2 linked regions of the Stegostoma tigrinum genome follow. The protein of the gene in region 1 purifies or fractionates together with the protein of each later gene. This does not show direct contact. Links are inferred from orthologs where the notes say so. Each region holds a gene or a part of one and is shown in the gene's direction. Other genes may lie near its edges.

Region 1 (10,475 bases):
TCTTAACAGCCTCCTGAAAAGGTCTAGCATGCCACTCAGTTGAAAGGCAATGAGGGACAGGTAACAAATGATGGCCTTGCCAGACATTCTTATCCCACAATGGAATTTTTTTTAAAAAGTGTTTAACTGAGTAAAGTCCTGCTGCTTGAGCTTCAGTTGTGCATTATTAGAACAGTGTAGGAAGCATGATACAATGGGGACAAAGAATCTGGGAGGATGGAATAGAGGCTTTAAGGAAGGTAAGCTGGTGAAAAGTCCAAGCCCAATGATTGCTTCAGTCAGTGCAATTATAATAGATTGTTAGTGACAGCCTGTTGCAAACTATGGAGATAGAAAAGGGAAGGAAGGGAAGTGAGGATTATGTGCAAAGAACAGTGGAAATTTGCTTCAAAATTGATTATATATTCCAATTTGTGCTGAGAGCACGAAGGGTGACCAATTAAAGTAATAAATTTATTAGAAAAAGAAGTTGGGAGGAAACCTGTGTTCTATGTATCTGATAAAAAAAAAAGCAGGCATGGCTAGGACCCATAAATGTTCATACAGCACCATCTTTTATTCTGCAGAAAGTGAGAGGAGTCAAAGGAGAAAGCGATTGAATGAAGAAATAAGTTTAGCCAGGTGGGGGTTGTCATTCTAAGAAGAAGTGGAGACCCCTCCCAGTGATGTAGGAAAACTGGTCACTAGAACCAAGAAACTGGAAAATATCTAATTGGTGGAAGGCAGAGGGGAAATTGCAGATATAGATAGGAGAACTGGATCCATTGCAGTAACCTTCCGTTTCTCATCCCCAATGCATTTCTGGTTGTTTGGCCCAATAATACCCAAAGTATCTTTCTCCAGACAAGTGAAGACTTGATTGCAGGCAGTACCTCCACTAAGGTTTGTTCATTTCTAGCTATTGTGAGACAGTGCTCTTGCAAGAAGAGTGGGAGAAGTTTGTATTTTTGGTTAGGTGTTGTGTAGATGTATGAGCCTGTTGCCTATTGTGTGCTGATGAGATGGAGGAGCTGGCCAGTACAAGCAGGATGGGGAAGTAGTAATGTGCAAGGAAGTGGCTCCAGATTGACATGTAAAAACAGATAGCAGAGGGAGAAAATGCTTCCAGTTGTTACGTGGTGAAAGCAGCATACTGTTTGGAGTTATTCTGAAGGTAGCTGCAACAGTTGAGTTTGATTTGGCTAAGAAAACAGGGTTGGTGCGGTGTGTCCTAGTGATTGGAGGAATGGAGGGAATTGTTATAGTCTGACGTAGAGAAAATGAAATAGGTGAGAATCATTCCCAACTTTCCGAACTAGTTATGATTATTGAATTTTCCATGACAACGCAAACTGATCTTGCATTGCTAATGTTTTTTGAATTGATTTTTTTGTACCACTTCCTTCTAGGCCTGCTGCAGCATGTCTCTGATAGCCTCCTGACATTGCAGGTGAGAGAATCATGTTATGGGGTCTCCTGTATTCCACTAAAATTGTAATCACTGCATTGCTGAACCATGGAGTTCTACCATGACACATCTTTTGGCTCATATTGTGAAACACAGCAACATAATTTGAATATATTTAAATCAAGAGGTATGAGTATACCTTAAATTGTCATCATGTCCTTTGGAAATGCATCCTGCAAATCAACGAGGCCTGAATCAAGACAGAAAATGCATTGGTTGCTGGCCTGTGAAGTTGAAAATGAGATCCTAACATCAAAATTGTTCACAGCAGGCCAAGCAGCATCTTAGGAGCACAAAAGCTGACGTTTCGGGCCTAGATGAAGGGTCTAGGCCCGATATGTCAGCTTTTGTGCTCCGAGGATGCTGCTTGGCCTGCTGTGTTCATCCAGCTCCACACTTTGTTATCTCGGATTCTCCAGCATCTGCAGTTCCCATTATCTCTGATCAAAATTGTTCAGCTGTCTAACTAATTACAGCAGGTTGGTGGCCCAATTGTCCTGCCTGATTTGTACCAGCAACTTGTGCATGCATGAAACTGATTAAATAGCATCATAACTCCATATGCCATAATCACCGAATTCGTGATCTTTTAAGACCTTTTCAGTGCCTGAATTCTGCTTTATCTTAAAACCAAATACATCCCCTAATGCATTTGAACTGACAGGACATTCTTACCCTGGGGCAAAAAGGCTGTTGCTGCAAAACCAGCTTGTCATTTTAAAACATGTCTAAACAGTTTTAACATAACTTGATTTGCCATGACAGGACAATTTGACCTCCTGCTTTTCTGAATTATCTACCTTTGAGGAATGTCAATAGAGTAAAAGTTACAACAGGTATTTTGGCAGAGGAAGAAGAACCTCCTTTAGGAAGTAACATCTGAAACATTAAAAACATTAAAAACCTGTAGTTTTGTAGGTGACTGCTACAAATGGAAACCTGTAAGATCAATAACCTGAATTCATTACAGCCTAAATTATTAGACAGACATCATAAACTGACTCTGAAAATCAATCCCAATTGTTTTTTTAAACTGCATTTATAATAGAATATTGAATTATATCCATCTCTTACATGAAATATATAACATTCCATATTGACTATTACAGATTAGATAATACTGATTTATGGATATTTAATCACTAAAATAGTTTTTCAACAATGTGACACTTCTAAATCAATACAGCACTCACGGCAGTTTTTTGTAAATAAAGCTCAAACTTGTTTATATCATTTTAATTTGGTTCTTTCAGATTATTTATCAGTCAATGAAAAGAAGATAATTACTTTGTTGAATGGGGTGAGCATCATCAAATTAATATGACCATCTAATTTTGATCTGAATTTCAAATGTCTGCTTTGAAACTTCAGAATATAAATTCTGCATTTTGATATCTTTTGATTACTGACATTTGTATTTGTAACATTGGAATGCCAGAGTACTCAATGACTGTACTTAAGTCCATGGTAAGATACAGCTGTATAGGAAGCAGAACAAAGGAAAAGTCTTTAGCTACATTTGTATCGCCAATTTGTATGGATGTAGGATGGCTTCAGTTATGCCTTGATGCAACAGTGGTGGTTTAACTCTGCAATGATCAATCAGTGTCCATCTAGAAAATGTTTAAAATAAATGGTGTGAAACGCTACCCCGGAGGCAGAATGTGGGCTGTAATTCCAGTGCTGCATAAAGCTAGTGTTTAAAATGCCCAAGCAATCTATTTTATTTCTAGGGCAGTTTATCAGTTGACAGTTTTCCCATTTAATATTCTGATATAATAAATATTCTGAAAGTCTACATTTGACCCTTTTTGAGAAATTAGATTCTGGGGAGCAAGTAAGTACAAGATATGGCCTAAGAGCTATTATAGCCATTTGATTCAGAAAGCAAGTGAGGGATTTTTGAAATATTTTCTGTACCATTTTTTTTGAAAAAGATGTTGAATTGAACTTGACGCCAATACCAAAAAAAATTAAATACAGCAATACTAGTACTATACATCTAACTATCCATTCAATGCTTGTTTTAGAAAACTGTGATTAGATGGCATTTATCACTGCTCTTACCCTTTACTTATAAGAGGGCTCACTGCTCTTATTAACATAATTTCTTACAGTATGAACTGGAATCCAGCTAGGTATAGTTGTTACAAAGGATCTGCAAGCAAATGGCTGATTGAAAATTCTTTCAATGGCCATACTTAAATAATCTTAAATTGCAACTATATTATTTGAGACAGATCATGTTTTTACACTTACTCCTCCATGTGATATTTTCATCAGCGTATTTGTATTCTATCATGCAATATTTAAAATCCTGGCATTGTAATAATATCCTCTCCATCACCAAGACTACTGCATCCAACATATTGCCAATCTCCACCACTGCCTCAGCTTGGCTGCTGCTGAAATCCTCATCCATTCCATTGATATCTCTAGACTAATCTTTTCCAATGCTCTCCTAGCCAGCTTCTAACCTTGCACACTTTGTTAACTGGAGCCCATCTACAGCTCTGCTGCCATTATGCATCTGGTTGCTGATCTAAACTAGTGTCTGGTCCAGAAATGTCTTGATTTTAACATTTTCATCCTTGTTCTCAAATATCCTTTGTTGACTGTCTTCTCCCCTCCTTATCTATATTATGCCATCCAGTTAGAAAATCCTGCAGATGTTCCCCTGACTTTGTCAAATTCTTTTCAAAGCATGTCTAAGGGTCTTGGGCCATTTCAGGCACATTAAAAGTGTTAGATAAATTCACATTACCAATACATTTATGAATTTTAAGTACAATATTATTGATGAACAGCAATAACTTTTCAAAATTACTTTCACAAAAATAAATGCAGAGTTCAGTTCCTGCTACTCTATCAGTTCTTGACTGTGACAATGTCCCTTCCTTAGATTGATATTGCACCAGTGGGCATGCAGTATGTTCTGTAAATTCCATCTGTTACTCATTGCAGTTATGTTTTTCAGTGATCTTTCCAATAACCTTTTTCCTCTGTAATGTTGGATATGCTTTAAAGTTCCAAAGGAGATGAAGGAGGAAATTTGTGAGGCTATGCCTAGAGTTATGAATGTGTCATTAAAAAAAACTGGTAACTGGAACGGTTCCTAAACATTAGAAAAATTGTAACACGCAATAATAGGACCGGTATTTAAGAAAAGCCTTTTGACTCTTTAAACCACTTCCTGTTCTTGAATTCTCTTCCTTGCATCTCATTAGATCTTAGATAACATCCTTTTGCTGCAGTATAACCAGTTTACTGTATGGTGTAACTTGATATTCTTGGATTTCCTCCTCTGGACATATCTGCAGTAGAGTAAGATGTTCACTCAATCTCATTGTAACTTTGACATATTTTTCAGGATAAATGTTGCTTTTGTCATGCAGTGCATGCTTGTGGTGAGATTCCCAAAGGATGGGATGACAACAGATATTCCAACACTACAACAAAGATAAATTAAGTGATAACTACGGCAAAACTGTGAATGCTGCTAGCTCCTGAAGATATCTGTCACTTACTTGGAAGAGACAAAGAGGAATGGACATAGTCTCTGCTGTGACATACATAAGTTAAAGTAGCAAACATGGCTGCTTAGCTCTCTAGGCTGGGACGGAAGCATCTACTATGCCCACTCCCATGATGCGAGGCTAGCACCATCAACACCCTGGGACATCCACCAGATAGTTCAAAGATGGTTGGGTAAAGGTAAAATGGGTCAGTTTCCACAATATGCAACAACTCAGAGATACTCATGGACCTCTGGAATCTTCCTCCCATCCCCTTCCTTATGACTCCACCCCCAACAGTCCCCATTAACAACTATCCACCCTCCTAGCCAGATTGTTATTAACTCCTTTGTCTATCCAACTGCTCTTTGCTCTCTTTGGGTTCTATCCCCACCTATCGTCTACTCCTTACCCCTTGCTCCTCTCTGTCTTCTGCAAATGAACTGACATTTTCTTAGCTACGATCAGTTCTGAAAAAGGGTAACCGGACCTGAAATGTTAACCTTGATTTTTCTTCATAGATGTGGCCAGACCTGCTGGCCACAAACAGCGACCTCTGTTTCTGTTCCAGTTTCCAGGCTGCGTCTCAGTGTTTTGCATCTGCATGTCACAAGCAGGGAAGGATGTCTGGGGATGATCTGAACAGGATGGGAGGGAGGAAAAATCGAGACCAAAACTAGTCTGTACCCTTTCTATGACTACCAGTCATTAATTGGGTCAAAACAGTGGGGTAAATGATGCGTCTATGGTATTATTCATAGTAATACCGCAGACACATCATTTACCCCACTGTTTTGATCCAATTAATGAATATATGGTCAATTTACTAGCTTTCAAACGACATTCAGCAGAAACTGGAAATATTGAGGACAAAATCTATAACATCCCTTCAATTTCATCTGTAACAAATTGCATTACTTGGTATACAGTTTCTTGAGACTGCACTAAGGTGAATAGCCCGTATAAGACTTCGTATGACAGAGCAGCCTGGACACACTGCAGCCTGCAGAGACTGCATTACACGGTACGTTGTCTGCACGAACTGCTGTACATTAATTAAGCGCACCGCCTGCACAGATTGCGTAATACATAACAGAGGCCTGAGCAGACTGCGATGCATAATGAAAAGTACAGCCTGCACAGGCATTGCATGGCATGACAGGGCTGCCTGTACAGACTGAGGTACATTGCAAAGACCGCGCAGACACTGCATGGCAATGACAAGCCAACTCCGTGAACCACAGTGCGGTAGATCGAGTAGACACGCAACTACGCGACAGGAAAGAGGCATGAAGGCAGCTCGGGACGTGCGCATGCGCTCGGCAAGGGCACGTGAGCACGGGGCCGGCCGTGGACTGGCCGAAAGGAAGCGTTGGGGGGAGAAGGCCCCAAACTCCCAGCAATGAATGAGTGCGCGAGCCGGCGGAGGCCCGCTACAACCAGGCGGCTCAGTTTGTCCGGCTCGGTGAGCGGCTGTGTGCTCTGATCCCGAGGAGGGCGGAAGGCTGGATGTTACCCTGGTGGAGGAGGAGAGGCCGGCAGTGAGTGAGTGCCGGGTCCTGTTCCTCTTCCCTTCTCTTTACCCCCAACCCCCCCCCTCTCCCGGGAGTGGGGCCGGGAGCTGCGGCTGCGCTGGAGCTGGAGCTCGAGCCGAGTGAAGCGGGGGCCCCGAGGCCGAGGCGGAGGCCCTGGGGGCAGAGACAGAGAGCCAGGCCCCGGCCTCTGTCGCTCAGTGATGTGGAGTGCGAGAGCCTCCCCTCAGCCAGCTGCCCACCATGGAAACTCACGACCTGCCGAGAGAAGGCACCGACTGTGAGGAGCGCCCGGCGCTGAGCGGCGGCACCACCACCACCAGTACGAACAGCCCGAGGCTCCCGGGCCTGCTGTGGGAGCCCAAGTACAGCCTGGTGCAGGAGGTGGGCCGCGGCAGTTACGGCGTGGTGTACGAGGCGGTGGTGAGGAAGAGCGGCGCCCGGGTGGCCATCAAGAAGATCCGCTGCGACGCCCCGGAGAACGTGGAGCTGGCCCTGTCCGAGTTCTGGGCTCTGACCAGCCTCAAACGGCAGCATGAGAATGTGATCCAGTTCGAGGAGTGTGTGCTGCAACGGAATGGCATGGCCCAGAAGATGAGCCACGGCAACAAGCGCTCCGAGTTCTACCTGCGCCTGGTCGAGACCTCGCTGAAGGGTGAGCGGATCCTGGGCGCCGGCGAGCCCTGCTACCTCTGGTTCGTCATGGAGTTCTGCAACGGCGGTGACCTGAACCAGTACGTGCTGTCCCGGAGGCCCGACTCGGCCGTCAACACCAGCTTCATGCTGCAGCTGACCAGCGCCATCGCCTTCCTGCATAAGAACCACATCGTCCACCGCGACCTGAAACCCGACAACATCCTCATCTCCGAGAAGTCGGGAGTCCCCATTCTCAAAGTGGCCGATTTCGGCCTCAGCAAAGTTTGTGTGGTGGGCGGAGGAGCAGCCACTAACAAAAACGTGAATGTGAACAAGTGCTGGTTGTCCTCCGCCTGTGGCTCTGACTTTTACATGGCTCCAGAGGTCTGGGAAGGACACTATACGGCCAAGGCTGACATTTTCGCTCTGGGGATCATCATATGGGCCATGATTGAACGAATAACATTTATTGATGCTGAGACTAAGAAAGAACTGCTTGGGACCTATGTTAGACAGGGCAGTGAGATTGTACCTGTAGGGGAGGCATTGCTAGAAAACCCAAAGATGGAACTACATATCCCGCAGAAAAGGAGGACTTTTATGTCTGAAGGGATCAAACAGCTTATTAAAGACATGTTGGCTGCTAATCCACAGGATCGTCCCGACGCATTTGAGTTAGAAACTAGGATGGACCAGGTCACTTGTGCTGCATAAATTATCTATTATAAAGGGGATACTCTTGTAAAAGGTATACAGACAGTAAGCAAAATATTGATATTGTGGATTCTTGGTCATATGTAATTCTATATACCACACTTGCCTTATTTAGTGTATATAGCTTCTCCTTGATTGTAAAGCATACAGTGTCAGAACGTACATGTTTTGAAAGTGTGGTCTTTTTCAAACGCTTTAACTCTGGCCCCATTTTGATTTTAATTTGCCCAATTTAAGGACATTTTTTAATTATCAAGAAAACAACCTAACATTTGCTTTGTTCGTCGGAAGAGGAAGGTGGGCATTTTTCTTAGAAAGCAACCAAACTCTGGGATGATTCTCTTGCAGCACAAACAATAGTTGATGTGTAGAAGAACCCAAAAAAGCCAGTGTACCCATTAAGTGTACTGTGTTCTTTATGTCTGGTTGGGTACTGAGAAATAATGCTAGAAAATCAAGAAGTCAAGGCAGGAGCAAATCAAATTGGTGTTAGAAATATGCTGCAATTCTCTTGGCAGTGACTCACTCAAGCCGTTCCCCACTTGCACTTCAATTAGGTCCTAGTCTTTCTCAAATACCCTAGGGTTTGGAATGTGCTAAACTATTACTTCCAATCACATTATTTGCAAATAGATGCCAGACTAGTAATGTCACTTAGACCATAATGAACATTTTACCAGCAAACAATTAAAGTTTATACATGTTATTCTGAGATTGGTGCATTGTGAATCAAATGTTCAATTAAGAGTAGAATTGAAAATATTGGATATCACTTGGCTGGTCAGGTAGTGACTGGGGAAAAGGTGACTTTTAATATTGACACAGTTCCTCAGTTGTTATGGATGATTGTTTTGCATGTAACTACTGGTCTGTAAGCTAATATAGGACGTAGTGGTTTTGATTCCTTTTGTTTTCAAACATAATGCTAATAGACGTCTTGAGAAGTTTGTGCATTGCTTTCTCACTTGGTATCAAGAAAAGCTGCTTAAATCCCCGCCACTGATGCAGTGTTCCATATTATTATCAATAAATAACAACGTATTTTAGAACTCCCTGCTCTAATTAGATACTGTCAAATTGATAACTATGCAACCTTTCTTCTGCATTTAAATTATTCTCATAATTTGGAATAGCAAATAGTTTTTCCCTGTCCTGGCTAAATGTCTTAATATTTGTGTTCTGTTGTGTTTCTGTTGCTGTTCTTAACTACTTCAGACCCACGAACTTTCCGACAAAGTAGACACAGCATTTTAATTGTTTTACGAAGATGTTTTAAGAATGTGACCCACAGTTGAAATGGAGGATTTTTTCAGGGGCATTGTGCTAAATGATAGCTTCATGCATTAGAACAATAAGCTCAGTTTTCCTCAGAACTTTGGAGTATTGTTTAGCCTGTTTCTGTTTTGGTGTATTTGAGAACTTGTGTACATTCTCTATTTAACTCAATTTTAATTTGAGGGTGGGGTGAGATTAAAAGGTGGCCGAAGCAGAATAACACAGCAAATATTGCCAATATTGAATGCAGGCAATATAGTTAAAAGTTTTAGTGTAACTCATCACAAGAAATCTGATGCAATTAAAATAAGTTAATAGTATTTGATGTATAAATTGTCTCAAATATGAAAAGGAAGTTTGGGAATAATGATGATCCATCAGATTGCTGCATTCATGCTGTAGTGAGGCGAGTGTGTTTATCCAGAATGCACTCGGCAGTTCCTACTATCTCTGTTTTCATTTTTGCAAGCACCAGTTTGACTGTTTTTATATTTTGTAGAAAGAGGAAAATGCAGATTTTTTTTTAATGGGTGAAATCTGGAAATTATGAAAGTCAATCATTTTCACACTTGTTAATTAAAGGAATTGCTTGTCTAAACCAGTTAGTGGCCCAAAAACGAACTGGTAAATATTTTGCAGTCTGGAGTGAAACTGTAGGCAGGGTTATGTACCTTTTTCAACTGAATTTGTGTATAGTTTGGGAATATTTTCATTAGTCTTGCTGACTTGTTATACTTCTGCAAGCAATATTTTCCACAAGCATGTGTTACAAATGTCCATGTAAACCGTATGATGAACATCCCATAAGAAAGTTGTTTAGTAGCAGAACTGCTGAAGATCAATTACTGTAATTGCAAACTTTACCTTTCGGCTTATGAAACATTTTGTCTTTTGGCTGTTACTGAATTTATTCTGCCAAGTTTTCTCTGGACGTGTAGAAAACTTTTTTTTTCAGATGGGGATATCCAACTTTCTTTTTACTTTCAGTTTCATTTCTTTATTTTTGAGAAGTTTGTTCTTGCACAAAATTGCACTCTGTAGCTACTAATGTAATTCTTACATGTGACCTCATGGATCAATAATATTATGCAGGCCATTTTTACTTTTTTATATAAAAAAAAGTTGAAGATGAAAGTTCAGTGAGGATATGTGTAACCTTTGTTAATACCTTGGGTAATTGAGGCTAGTTCGCAAATGGGACATTTATCTTTATCCTACCTAGCTTCATAAAGTGCAGCGGTGAATTTTACAATGATTTTGCACTGCAAGTGGTGTTAAACGTTTGAGAGCAGACCCATAATCTGGAAGACTAGAACACAGCACAGATGTAAGTAGCCTTTCTCTATGTACTACTTT
Region 2 (10,669 bases), on another chromosome or scaffold:
GGTCCAGGGGAAGGTTGCTGAACAAAGAGACCTTAGAGTGCAGGTCCATAATTCCTTGAAAATAGAGTTGCAGATAGATAGTAAAAGGTGTTTGGTATGCTTGGGTTTATTGGTCATTGCATTGGGTACAGGAGTTGGGAGATCATGTTGCGGCTGTACAGGACATTTGTCAGACCGCTTTTGGTCTATTGCATTCATTTCTGATCTCCTTGTTGTGAAACTTAAAGAGGTTCAGAAAAGATTTACAAGGATGTTATCAATGTTGGCGTGTTTGAACTTTAGGGAGAGGATGAATAGGCTGCGGCTATTTTCCCTCGAGTGTAAGAAGCTGAGCAGTGACCTTAAAGAAATTTATAAAATCATGAGGGGTATAGAAAAAGTGACTAGCCAAGGTCTTTACCCCAGGGTAAGGGAGTCCAAAACTAAAGGGCATAGATTGAAGGTGAGAGAGGAAAGATTTAAAAAGGACTTAAGGCTCATTTTCTTTTATGCAGAGGGTGGTGCATGTATGGAATGAGCTGCCAGAGGAAGTGGTGGAGGCTGCTACAAAAACAACATTTAAAAGGCACCTGGATGGGTATATGAATAGGAAGATTTAGAGGGATATGGGCCAAATGTTGGCAAATGGAACTAGATTAATTTAGGATATCTGGTCAACATGAACAAGTTGGACCAAAGAGTCTGTTTGCATACAGTACATCTGTATGTATTATGAAGTTCTATATTCTTCTTGGAACACCTGTTTTTCTTGTCATCGGCAATCATTCACGAGTGAGTATGCTTGTCCACCTAGGAAATTCTGTGTCACTGATCATGTGTTCTGTGGGACCTTGTATGACTGATGAGCCCAATCTGAGAGCCACATCCTGAGCACACATTTGGCAGGTGTTTCCAGAAGATGGAATTGGTCCTTGACCTTGAGATTGTTGGTGTTCCTTTCTCCAGTTCCTTTCTGTAATTGCTATTGCTGCCAGGTGTTTTCAAAGTATTGTGTCCTTTCGTACAGGAGCTTTCTCCAAGCCAGTTTCTTCTGAACGAGGGTCTCCTATGAATTGATATCTATGTTGCATTTCATGATGGAAGCCTTCGTGGATCCTATGAAACACTTCCTTTGTCCTCCTCACATTCGAATGCCTTCCTTGATTGGGCAAAGAAGATTTGCTTTAGTAGTCAGAATTCAGGCATCCTAAGCATATGGCCAGCCCAGGCGAGTCAATTTTGGATGCTCGTGGCCTCAGTGCTGTTGCTGTTAGCTGCTTCAAGGATGCTGATGTTAGTACGCCTGTCATCTCAACTGATGTGGAGAATCCAGCTCAAATAACATTGGTATTTCTCAAGGGTCTTGAGGTAGGCGCGTATACATAATCCAAGTTTCAAACCATATAGAAGAGTTGATGAAGGGTCTAGGCCCGAAACATCAGCTTTTGTGCTCCTGAGATGCTGCTTGGCCTGCTGTGTTCATCCAACTTCACACTTTATTATACAGAAGAGTTGGAAGGATGACTGCCTTATGCCCAAGGATCTTGTTATCAACATGGATGTCACAGTTGTTGAAGACGCTCACCCTTAGCTGTCTGAAGGCAGCACTTGCAGATTATATGTAATGTTGAATCTCTACATCATTGTCAGCCTTAGATGAGAGGTAGCTTCTCAGGTACGGAAATGTGCCACATTTGGGAGGATTTCTCTGTTGATCTTAATAGAGGGGTGGACCAGAACTTGACCTGGGATGGGTTGGTAAAGGATTTGAGCTTTCTTAAAGTTGAGCCTGAGACAAATTCTTCAGTGTGCTTCTGAGAAGGCATTAAGTGAAGCTTGAAAATTCTCTTCCAAGAGACCAGAGGTGACATTGTCATCCGCATGCTCAAGTTCCGCAAGTGAGGTCAGTGTCAGCTTCTTCTTGGATTTCAATTGGTTGAGTTTGAAAAGATTTCCATCCATGCTGTGGACAATGTTCACACCACTGGAAAATTTGTTCTTGACAAGATAAAGGATGTTGGCAATGAAGGTGGGAAACGGCGGGTGTGATGACACATCCCTGCTCAATCATTATCTTCATCTCAAAGGATTCTATCCTTTGCTGTCAATGAGGACCATTGCCAATATCGAGTCATGTAGCATAGAAACAGACCCTTCATCTAGCCATAGTGGAGACAGAGGATGGTAATGAGTAACAGTAGACAGCCAAACTTTGACAGGATCTTCCATAAAAGTTCCTGCCTGAGTCAAAAGTCTTGCTCAGGTTGATGAAGGCCAGGTAGAGTGGTTGGTGGTGTTTCTGACATTTATCTTGGTATTGCCAAGCAATGAAAATCATGTGCCTAGGTCCACAGTTTGGTTGGAAGCCATGCTGGCTTTCAGGAAAGATTTCTTCTGAGACTGAGAGAAGGTGCTTAGCAATGATTTGGGTGATGGAGAGGAGGGAGGCTCCTCAGTAGTTCCCACAGTTCACTTTGTCTTCTTTCTTTAGTGAGCTGGAGGGAAAGATAAACAAAACCTGTAAGTATCTTGCATTTTACATAACCACCAAATATCCCAGAGCTCCTTATAGCCAATGCAGTAATTATGAGAGATGGGCCCAGTGCTTGGTTTTATTTCTTTGCAAACTTAAGTAGGACTGACAAAGTTATTTTACAAATTCTGATGAAAATCTGTGTCTATAATTCTCCAAACAGGTTGTAATTCTAGGTTTTGCCATCACAGCTGCTGTGCTGGAACTGCTGGCCCTTTCAGAGCACCAAGATAAATTTTCTGAACATGGAAACCTGGAAATAGGCATTGGAATTGCAGAGTATATCTGATGGAAACCTAAGATATCATAACTGTAGGCCTGTCTTCTAATTGGTTTCAGAGCCTCTATTTTATATAATCAATCTGAATATTTATTACATACTGCATGTAATGCAGTAAGAAAATGCCAATGGCTTTCTGCTGAATCGTAAACACTGGATATGAACGTAATAGTACCAGACATCTGCTCACAAATTCCAAATTACTAAAGAAATATGTCTTATCTTTAATCTTAATCACTTCCCAGTAGAATTCCCAGAGGGATGAGAGTGTTCGTGAATGTTGTTGACAGAACTAGCTGCTTGATTATGACCTAAAGATCCTCACACAATACATCATTAAATAAGATTTCCTTAAGAAAGAGCACTCATGGTTCAGCACAAATTATCACTCTTCGGTATTTTCCCTACCCTCTATAACAACAACAACTTGCATTTGTTTCATGCTTTTCATGTAACAAAATGTCCCAAGGCAATTTGCAACTACTGTGAAATCAAAAATTGACACTGAACCAGTAACAAAATCAGATGTTTGGTCAAACAGGGAGGCCTTAAGTATTGTCTTTAAACAATCAAGAGCAATATATAGGCAGAAAGACTTAGGGAGGGAGATACACAATTTAGGGTCTTAGTAGTTGAAGGCAGGGCCACTGATCGTAGTGTGAGTCAATTAAAATCAGAAATGTTTAAAAGCCTATCTGCAGTTGTTCAAAACAAGTCAGATAACACCAGACAATAATCACGTTCTGTTTCCAAAATTATGTATTTTATTCTTAAAATTTGTGAAAAAATTACAAAACACATGGCTCCAAATTACAGTTTGCGAGAAAATTCACCTTGTCGCAATACAATGAGTTTCACTTTATATAATTGTAATAATCTTAATATATACAACATATAGTTCACATAAGGTATACAGGCTGATGGTAAACCAGTTTGTATTTGAAATGTCAGAACATATTTTACAGTTTCATGTTCCACTCTGAGGTTCCTCAATACATTTCTATACTCTTGATTGATAATACATATTCTTTGTAAGGCACACAACTAAGCAATTACCATCTCAGTAGTATCCACCACAGCACTGACACTGAGTGATTGCTTATATTATCAGTATCAATTCAGTGTTAATCTAGTTGCTTGGTGAGGTTATATGTTAGTGCTTTGATATCATATTCTGAAATTAACCTCATAGTGTTTGATCAGTAATGGTTTATTCCTGCAATAAAGAATGTCCTAAATATAGCGCTTCAGTGAAAAGTGGCTAATAAAATTATCTTACAAAGACAAAGTATAGGAGTTGGGACATCATGTTGAGATGTACAGGAAGTTGATGAAGCCTCTTCTGAAGTATTGTGTCCAGTTATGTTTTTGGAAGGATATTATTAAACTGCAGATGGTTCAGAAAAAAAATTACCAGGATGTTGCTGGAGTAGAGTCTTTGAGTTATAAAAATAGGCTGGATGGACTGGGTCTTTTTTCACTGGAGTGTAAGAATTTGGGGGTGATTAAAAAATCATGAGGGGCATGGATAGGTGTCTTTTCCCTAGGTTGGGTGATTTCAAGACGAGATGCCATATTGTTAAGGTGAGAGGAGAAAGATTTTATAAAGACATGATGGGCAACTTTTTTACACAGAAAGTGGTTCATGTGTGGAGTGAACTTTCAGAGGGAGTGGTGGGTGTGGTTTGTTTGCATTGTTTAAAAGACATTTAGATAAGTACATAAATAAGAAGTGTTTGGAGGGATATGAGCCAAGCACAGGCAGGTGGGATCATTTTAGATTGGGATTATGGTCAGCATAGACGAGTTGGACCAAAGTGTCTGTTTTTGTGCTGTATGACTCTGACCCTATGACCTGAAAGAGCACAACCTTGAAAAAAATTGCAATATCACCAAGCTGCCCTCTACTTAAGGATAAATAGACACTAAAAAATAAAGCTGCCATTCAGCCCTACCTGGGAAAGAATCTAAATATTATTTATAGGTCAGATAATTTAGTGAAAGAGAATTAGTTCTAAAATAATGGCAATCCACTGAGTAAACACACGGCTGTAATAAATTTCAGTTTTAAAAATAATATAAGTCTTAGCCCCACAAAAGTTACTTTGCAATTTACCGAATATCCAAAGTAGTGAATTTTTCGATAGTTCGATTTTTCTAAAGCACAGAGAATATGGAAATCTGAAATAGAAACAAAAAAAAGTGGAAATACTCAGTAAGTCAGGCAGCACATCTCGACAAAGAAGCAGTTAATGTTTCGGGTTAATAATCTTTCATCTGTACAAGAAAAAAGTGGGAGATGGGATAAGTTTGAAGCAAATTGAAGGGGTGATGGTGAGAAAAAGCACATAAGGGAATGTTTGTGGTCAGATGGAGGGAAAGAAAGATAAACGACTCAAGTCAGAAGCCAAAGAAGTGATAGTGGAACAAGTAAAGAAACAAAAGATGTGTCAAGAGGTTTTGGGAACGACAGAATGATGAACAGTCGCTGCTCAAAAGCAAAACCAAGAGCGGGTAGGCAAATCAAATGTAAAAACCTCAAATCAGCAAAGAAAAATGAACGTGATTAGAGACGTTACAATTTGAAACGGTTGAATTCATTGTTGTGCCTGACAATCTGCAGAACATACAAAGGATTTAAGAACGCCCCTTGAGCTCCAGATGTTATTGTGTATAGGTAATGCCATTCATCAGTGACAATTATAATCTTAAAAAGTGCTCAAAATGGCATTTTTGGTCATTTTTCCGGGAATATAAGAACAATTGTCGACAGATACACTGCTGATAGTACCTGGAATAAGGTACATTTTGTGCGGCAATTTGAACCGTATTTCTGTTTGTTACTGTGCGCGCGCGTGAAAATTCATCAGAGTTGTTCGACATATATTGTGGTCAATTTAATGAAACAGTTCTTGACTTTGATATAAATTGTGTAAGCAATATGTGCCATATAGTTCGAGTATGCTAGAAGATAAGCAAATTGGTTAGAAATTGTACATATCCCTTACTTGCTAAACTGCAAAACAATTTAGAAGGTACAGTAATGGTCGGTCACTTTTACTGGCGTTGCAAACTGTGCTTTTACACAAATAGAGCTCATGGTTTACTTTCATCTGCCAAAAGTACTCAAAAGGTATTAATCCAATGCAAAGTCAGCTTTCTGCACAGTTTGACATTTTTCTATTTTGCCCTTCACAAAGATGGCGGGGCCCATTTAATACGGAATGATGGACGTCTTAGCAAACCAATCGACACGCCGAGTGGGCCACAATCCTCCATTCAGACAGCGGTCTGGGCGTGTGGGGTGGGGTTGAGTCTCGGAGACCGAGTTTCGCTGAAAGTTGCAAATGTTTGTTACAGTCCTGTTTGCGGCGAGCGTGTGACTGTAACAGGTTGGGACGATCGCTTTCACTGAAGATGAAGACTAAGCAGGTAGGAGTTTACTGGAGTTCGGCTTGCAGGTGCTATTTTCCCCGTCTAGCTACTGAATGTTATTAAAGGGATCCGCAGCCTGTGCCTGAGCGCGCTGAAGTGTTTGTCTTCACAAAGTTGAGATTCCCAAAAACTGCCTGCCTGCAAGCGCTGAAATTTTTTTAAGGTGCAGTTTTAAAACATCAACAGTTAATTGCTGTCTCTTGTATTGCAAGAGCCTCTTAGAACCCGACCGGCACAAGGTCCAAATATGTCGTCGGCAAGTCACAAAAGAGGAGTCAGGAAGTCAGTTCAATGCAGGCTGTGTCCTTCCCCACCAGTTGGCCCTGCCTATATAGGGTAGGTTGATATGGGCTCTGCTAGAATAGCAATCCTGAGTTACGATGGCACAGACTGAGCTGGGAGGGTAGCTTTGTTGAGAATACTGCTGGAACGTGTTTTGGAGGTAATATTATTATATGAATCTCGCTGTTGTCACAATCAAGAGATGCCACAGAATCGTGAAGTTTTCGATCGATGTTGTACCGGCATCGAGATTTTGTTTTGGAAGGTGCACACTTTTTGAGGCGAATGACAGCTAATGTGCCCCAACTAAAACAATAAAGGACCGTTTCCTGTGTCTGTGGAAGATAATTTGTCTGGATTTCAAATTGTGAAGTAGGACAACAATGTACAGTGCTGCTAGATGTTCTTGAAAGATGAAGCAACAAGAGAAAAAGTATTAAACAGCCAGATTTATGTCGCAGGTCCTCAGAGCTTTGAGGCCCAGTCACTTTGTTTCCATTTATATTTGGCACCAAGAAAGTGGTTTATAAACATTCAGCAGGCCTGTGTCAGAAGGTTGGCCCATATGGTTGGCTCAGGGATAGCTGTGTGAATGTCGATTATGTCATTATAAAGGTGCTTTGTGTAAACAGTCGGATCTTTGGCGGGATACTGTCAGGCTTTCATCAGCGAGTGGGCGAGTTAGCTTTAAATCTATGAAGTCATTTATTGTGTTGTCGGCGGTTGTCTAGGCATTTTGTTGATGTTAAACGGTTTCGTTCGTTTTACCCACTCTTTCTCCACAGTTTTCGCCCACTCTTTCTCAAGGATGTTAATTCATTGCCAGGGTGAAGTTCCTTCAGCACGAGCAGTTTTGACTATTTTGACGAATAAGCATTCTGTCAAGTGCGTGTTTCGGCAGTTAACGGGCAGAAATTTCAACCACATCGGCGGGAGGTGGGGGGTGCTAGTGCTTCGGAATGGTTCCGAGTGGGGGGCAATAAAAACCAAGAGAACTGCGGATGCTGTAAATCACTAACAAAAACAAAAGTTGCTGGAAAAGCTCAGCAGGTCTGGCAGCATCTGTGGAGGAGAAAACAGTTAACGTTTCGGGTCCGGTGACCCTTCCTCCGAGAAAGGAAATTTGTGTTCGTTGTACTGCATCAACTTTGCATTTGCAGTCAGCTGACCAAACTCCAGCCCAACCATCATCGCTACTGAAGTTGCAAGTTCAATTTAAAATTTGTCATCAAGCTGTTCGTTCTGGAAAAACCATCTCAACCACCCTTCTACTGATAGCGGAGTCTGTGCATGGGGGTGTCAATGGATAGTGATTCACAGTGAGACATCACTGGACTCTAACTTCCTCCTCTAGGCCAGCTCAAGTGGGGTAAGGCATTCCAACTGTTTTCCTTGACTGAACCTGGTCTTTGTGGGAGGAATTTAATGCTCTTCCCTGTGGTAAACTTGATGCCGGGGTGCCAAATTAATTGGTGGGATTCTGCCAGCTACCCTCTTCTGCCCTGATTAAGCCAATGGATAATCTTCTCACCTTCACTGTTAACTGAGACCAAAGTGAGCAACTAATGCCATTTATCCCACTTCCACTGTTGAGTAGAGGGAAAGGATGCTCACCATGCATGGAACATATGACAGAAATCATGGGTGGGCCCCTCATTCAAAGGCACAGTGCTTGAGTCTTACTATTTTGCTCTTGCTGCTAATTCCCAACCTGCTCCTTGATCCCGGGTAAGGTCATTGCTGTCTGGTAAGTATGTCTCAGTGGCAGTTAATTAAGTGGGTCTTCGCTAAAAGAAGCAATGGTTGACATGTGTGCAACCACTATCAACGTCTTAAAAGCTGCCCTGTGATTTAGGATCACAGCAGGTGGCTCATTGGCATTTTGAGCCAGGGAACATCTTTCAAGAATGATTGACAAAAAGTATTTCTTTCAACTGCCCTAACTATGTTATGATTAATGTTCAGAAGCAGTTCAATATTTCTGCTCTAAGAGATAACAAGGTGTATAGCTGGATGAACATGCAGGCCAAGCAGCATCATAGGAGCAGGAAAGCTGACGTTTTGGACCTAGACCCTTCAGATTCTCCAGCATCTGCAGTTCCTACTATCTCTGAAGCAATATTTCTGCTGTCTGTACTGTTGAATATCCCTAGTTTGAGCTTTTTGACCTTTAGGATCTGTATAAATGCTAGCGTGCAACAACATCTCTTGTTGCTGCGGTTGATGCCAATTCAATAGCACCCTGTGGACAGTGTTGCCCATCCTTGATCCTTGATTTGAGTGGTTTGCAAGGTTATTGAAGAGGATAGAATAGAATCCCTACAGCGTGGAAATAGGCCCTTCGGCCTAACAAGTTCATGCCCACCCCCCTATAAAACTACCTAATCTACACATCCCTGAACACTACAGGCAATTTTAGCATGGCCAATCCACCTAGCCTGCGCATTTTTGCACTGTGGGAAGAAACCAGAGCACCCAAAGGAAACCCACGCAACATGGGGAGAATGTGCAAACTCCACACAGACAGTTGCCCCAGGGTGGAATTGAACCCGGGTCCCTGGCGCTGTGAAGAAGCAGTGCTAACCACTGTCCCACCGTGTAGTTAAAGTCAACTCTGTAGCTGTAGGCCTGTAGTCACATGTAGGTCACATGCCAAGTTAGGATGACAGTTTTCCTTTCCAAAAAGGGATAGTTGATCCAGAGGAAGTTTTACAACAATTGATGATATTTGTCATGGTCATCATTATATAGGACTAGCTTTCAGTTTCAGATTTACTATTTTAATTTAAATTCCATCAGTTGCCCTGGTGGGATTTGAACCCATATCCCGGAGCCTGGGCCTCTAGATTATTAGTCCAATGGCAATACTGCTATGCCAACATCTTCCCATATCTACAAATTTCACTGCCTTCACCAATTGACCAACTACTTGGACACCTTTTTGTACTTATTTCATGCTTCTTTCATGTTGACTTCTGCATTGGTAATAGCCGGCAGCCTTGTCTCACCCATGTCTGATTACACAGGATCAGTTTCATGAAATTTTGTTCTGACAGTACCAGTGTTTCTGATTTGCAGACCATTCTTTAACCACCTAAATCAACTCTGATAGTCTCCAGCACCTTGCAATAGCTCTGGTTGAAAACACAACGCTAGTATATACTTCTTGCAAGTACAATGTTGTTCTAATACAAGAACTAGTCAGGTACAATGTGTTTCTTTATCTTAGCACTTACATCACTGCTATAGCTAGAATACCAGCCTTAAACATACATTACCTTCTGTAACTTTATCAATCTATTGCCACATAGAAATCTTTAATCTTACTCTTTACTTTGACTTTGTTAGAGTATAGAACAAAATGTAAAATTTTGTAGGTTGGTTTGCATTCTTGTCAGAAGCACACAATTTGTAAAAAGCTTGAGGGGCAATGAACACATTACAAGTTACTATGAAAGGTTTTGACGTATTATAAAATAGTGAACATCGAATGCTCTCGATTAATATTGTCATATAGAATGATAGCTTAGACTTGAAGGGACACAGGATATACTCCGAGATAAGCAAGAACTGCAGATGCTGGAGTCAGAGACGACACAGTGTGGAGCTGGAGGAACACAATAGGCCAGGCAGCATCAGAGGAGTTGGAAAGTTGACATTTTGGGTCAAGTTCTGACCTGAAACATCAGCTTTCCTGCTCCTCTGATGCTGCCTGGCATACTATGTTCCTCTAGCTCCACACTGTGTTGCCTAGGATATACTCATATATCTCAAGTTTTAATTAAACTTGATCACAAATTGGAATAAAACAATTTGTAATTGTTTCACCAAATGATAGGAATAAATGGGAGTTTGAAAAATTATTTAGACTTGTTAACTCTTTTAAACAGTATGTTCTTTGGATGTGGGCATCACTGGCTACATCAGTATTTATTACTCACCCTGAATTGCCCAGAGGGTGGTTAAGAGTCAACCACATTACTATAGATTGGGAATTACATGCAGGAAAAATCAGGTAAGAATGGCAGATTTCCTTCCTGAGAGGGCCTTAGTGAACCAGATGAGCTTTTATAACATGGTCAACATCGCTGAGATAAACATTTGATCTAAATTACGCCATCTGCCATGGTGGCATTTGACACTATTTCTCAACAGCATTA

Evidence for each region.
Region 2: the proteins of stk35 (region 1) and c28h1orf174 purify together in Homo sapiens (affinity purification with mass spectrometry; 3 studies listed by BioGRID and IntAct, counting the BioPlex papers as one, with this or other methods). This does not show direct contact. The link is inferred for Stegostoma tigrinum from reciprocal best matches to the Homo sapiens genes STK35 and C1orf174.

What each region holds. Positions count from the first base shown.
Region 1 is NC_081372.1:35,989,588-36,000,062, forward strand, and holds the start of stk35 (serine/threonine-protein kinase 35), read left to right. Parts: upstream 1-6,277; 5' UTR 6,278-6,737; coding exon 6,738-7,844; 3' UTR 7,845-7,878; intron 7,879-10,475.
Region 2 is NC_081381.1:42,839,247-42,849,915, forward strand, and holds the start of c28h1orf174 (UPF0688 protein C1orf174 homolog), read left to right. Parts: upstream 1-6,068; 5' UTR 6,069-6,209; coding exon 6,210-6,224; intron 6,225-10,669.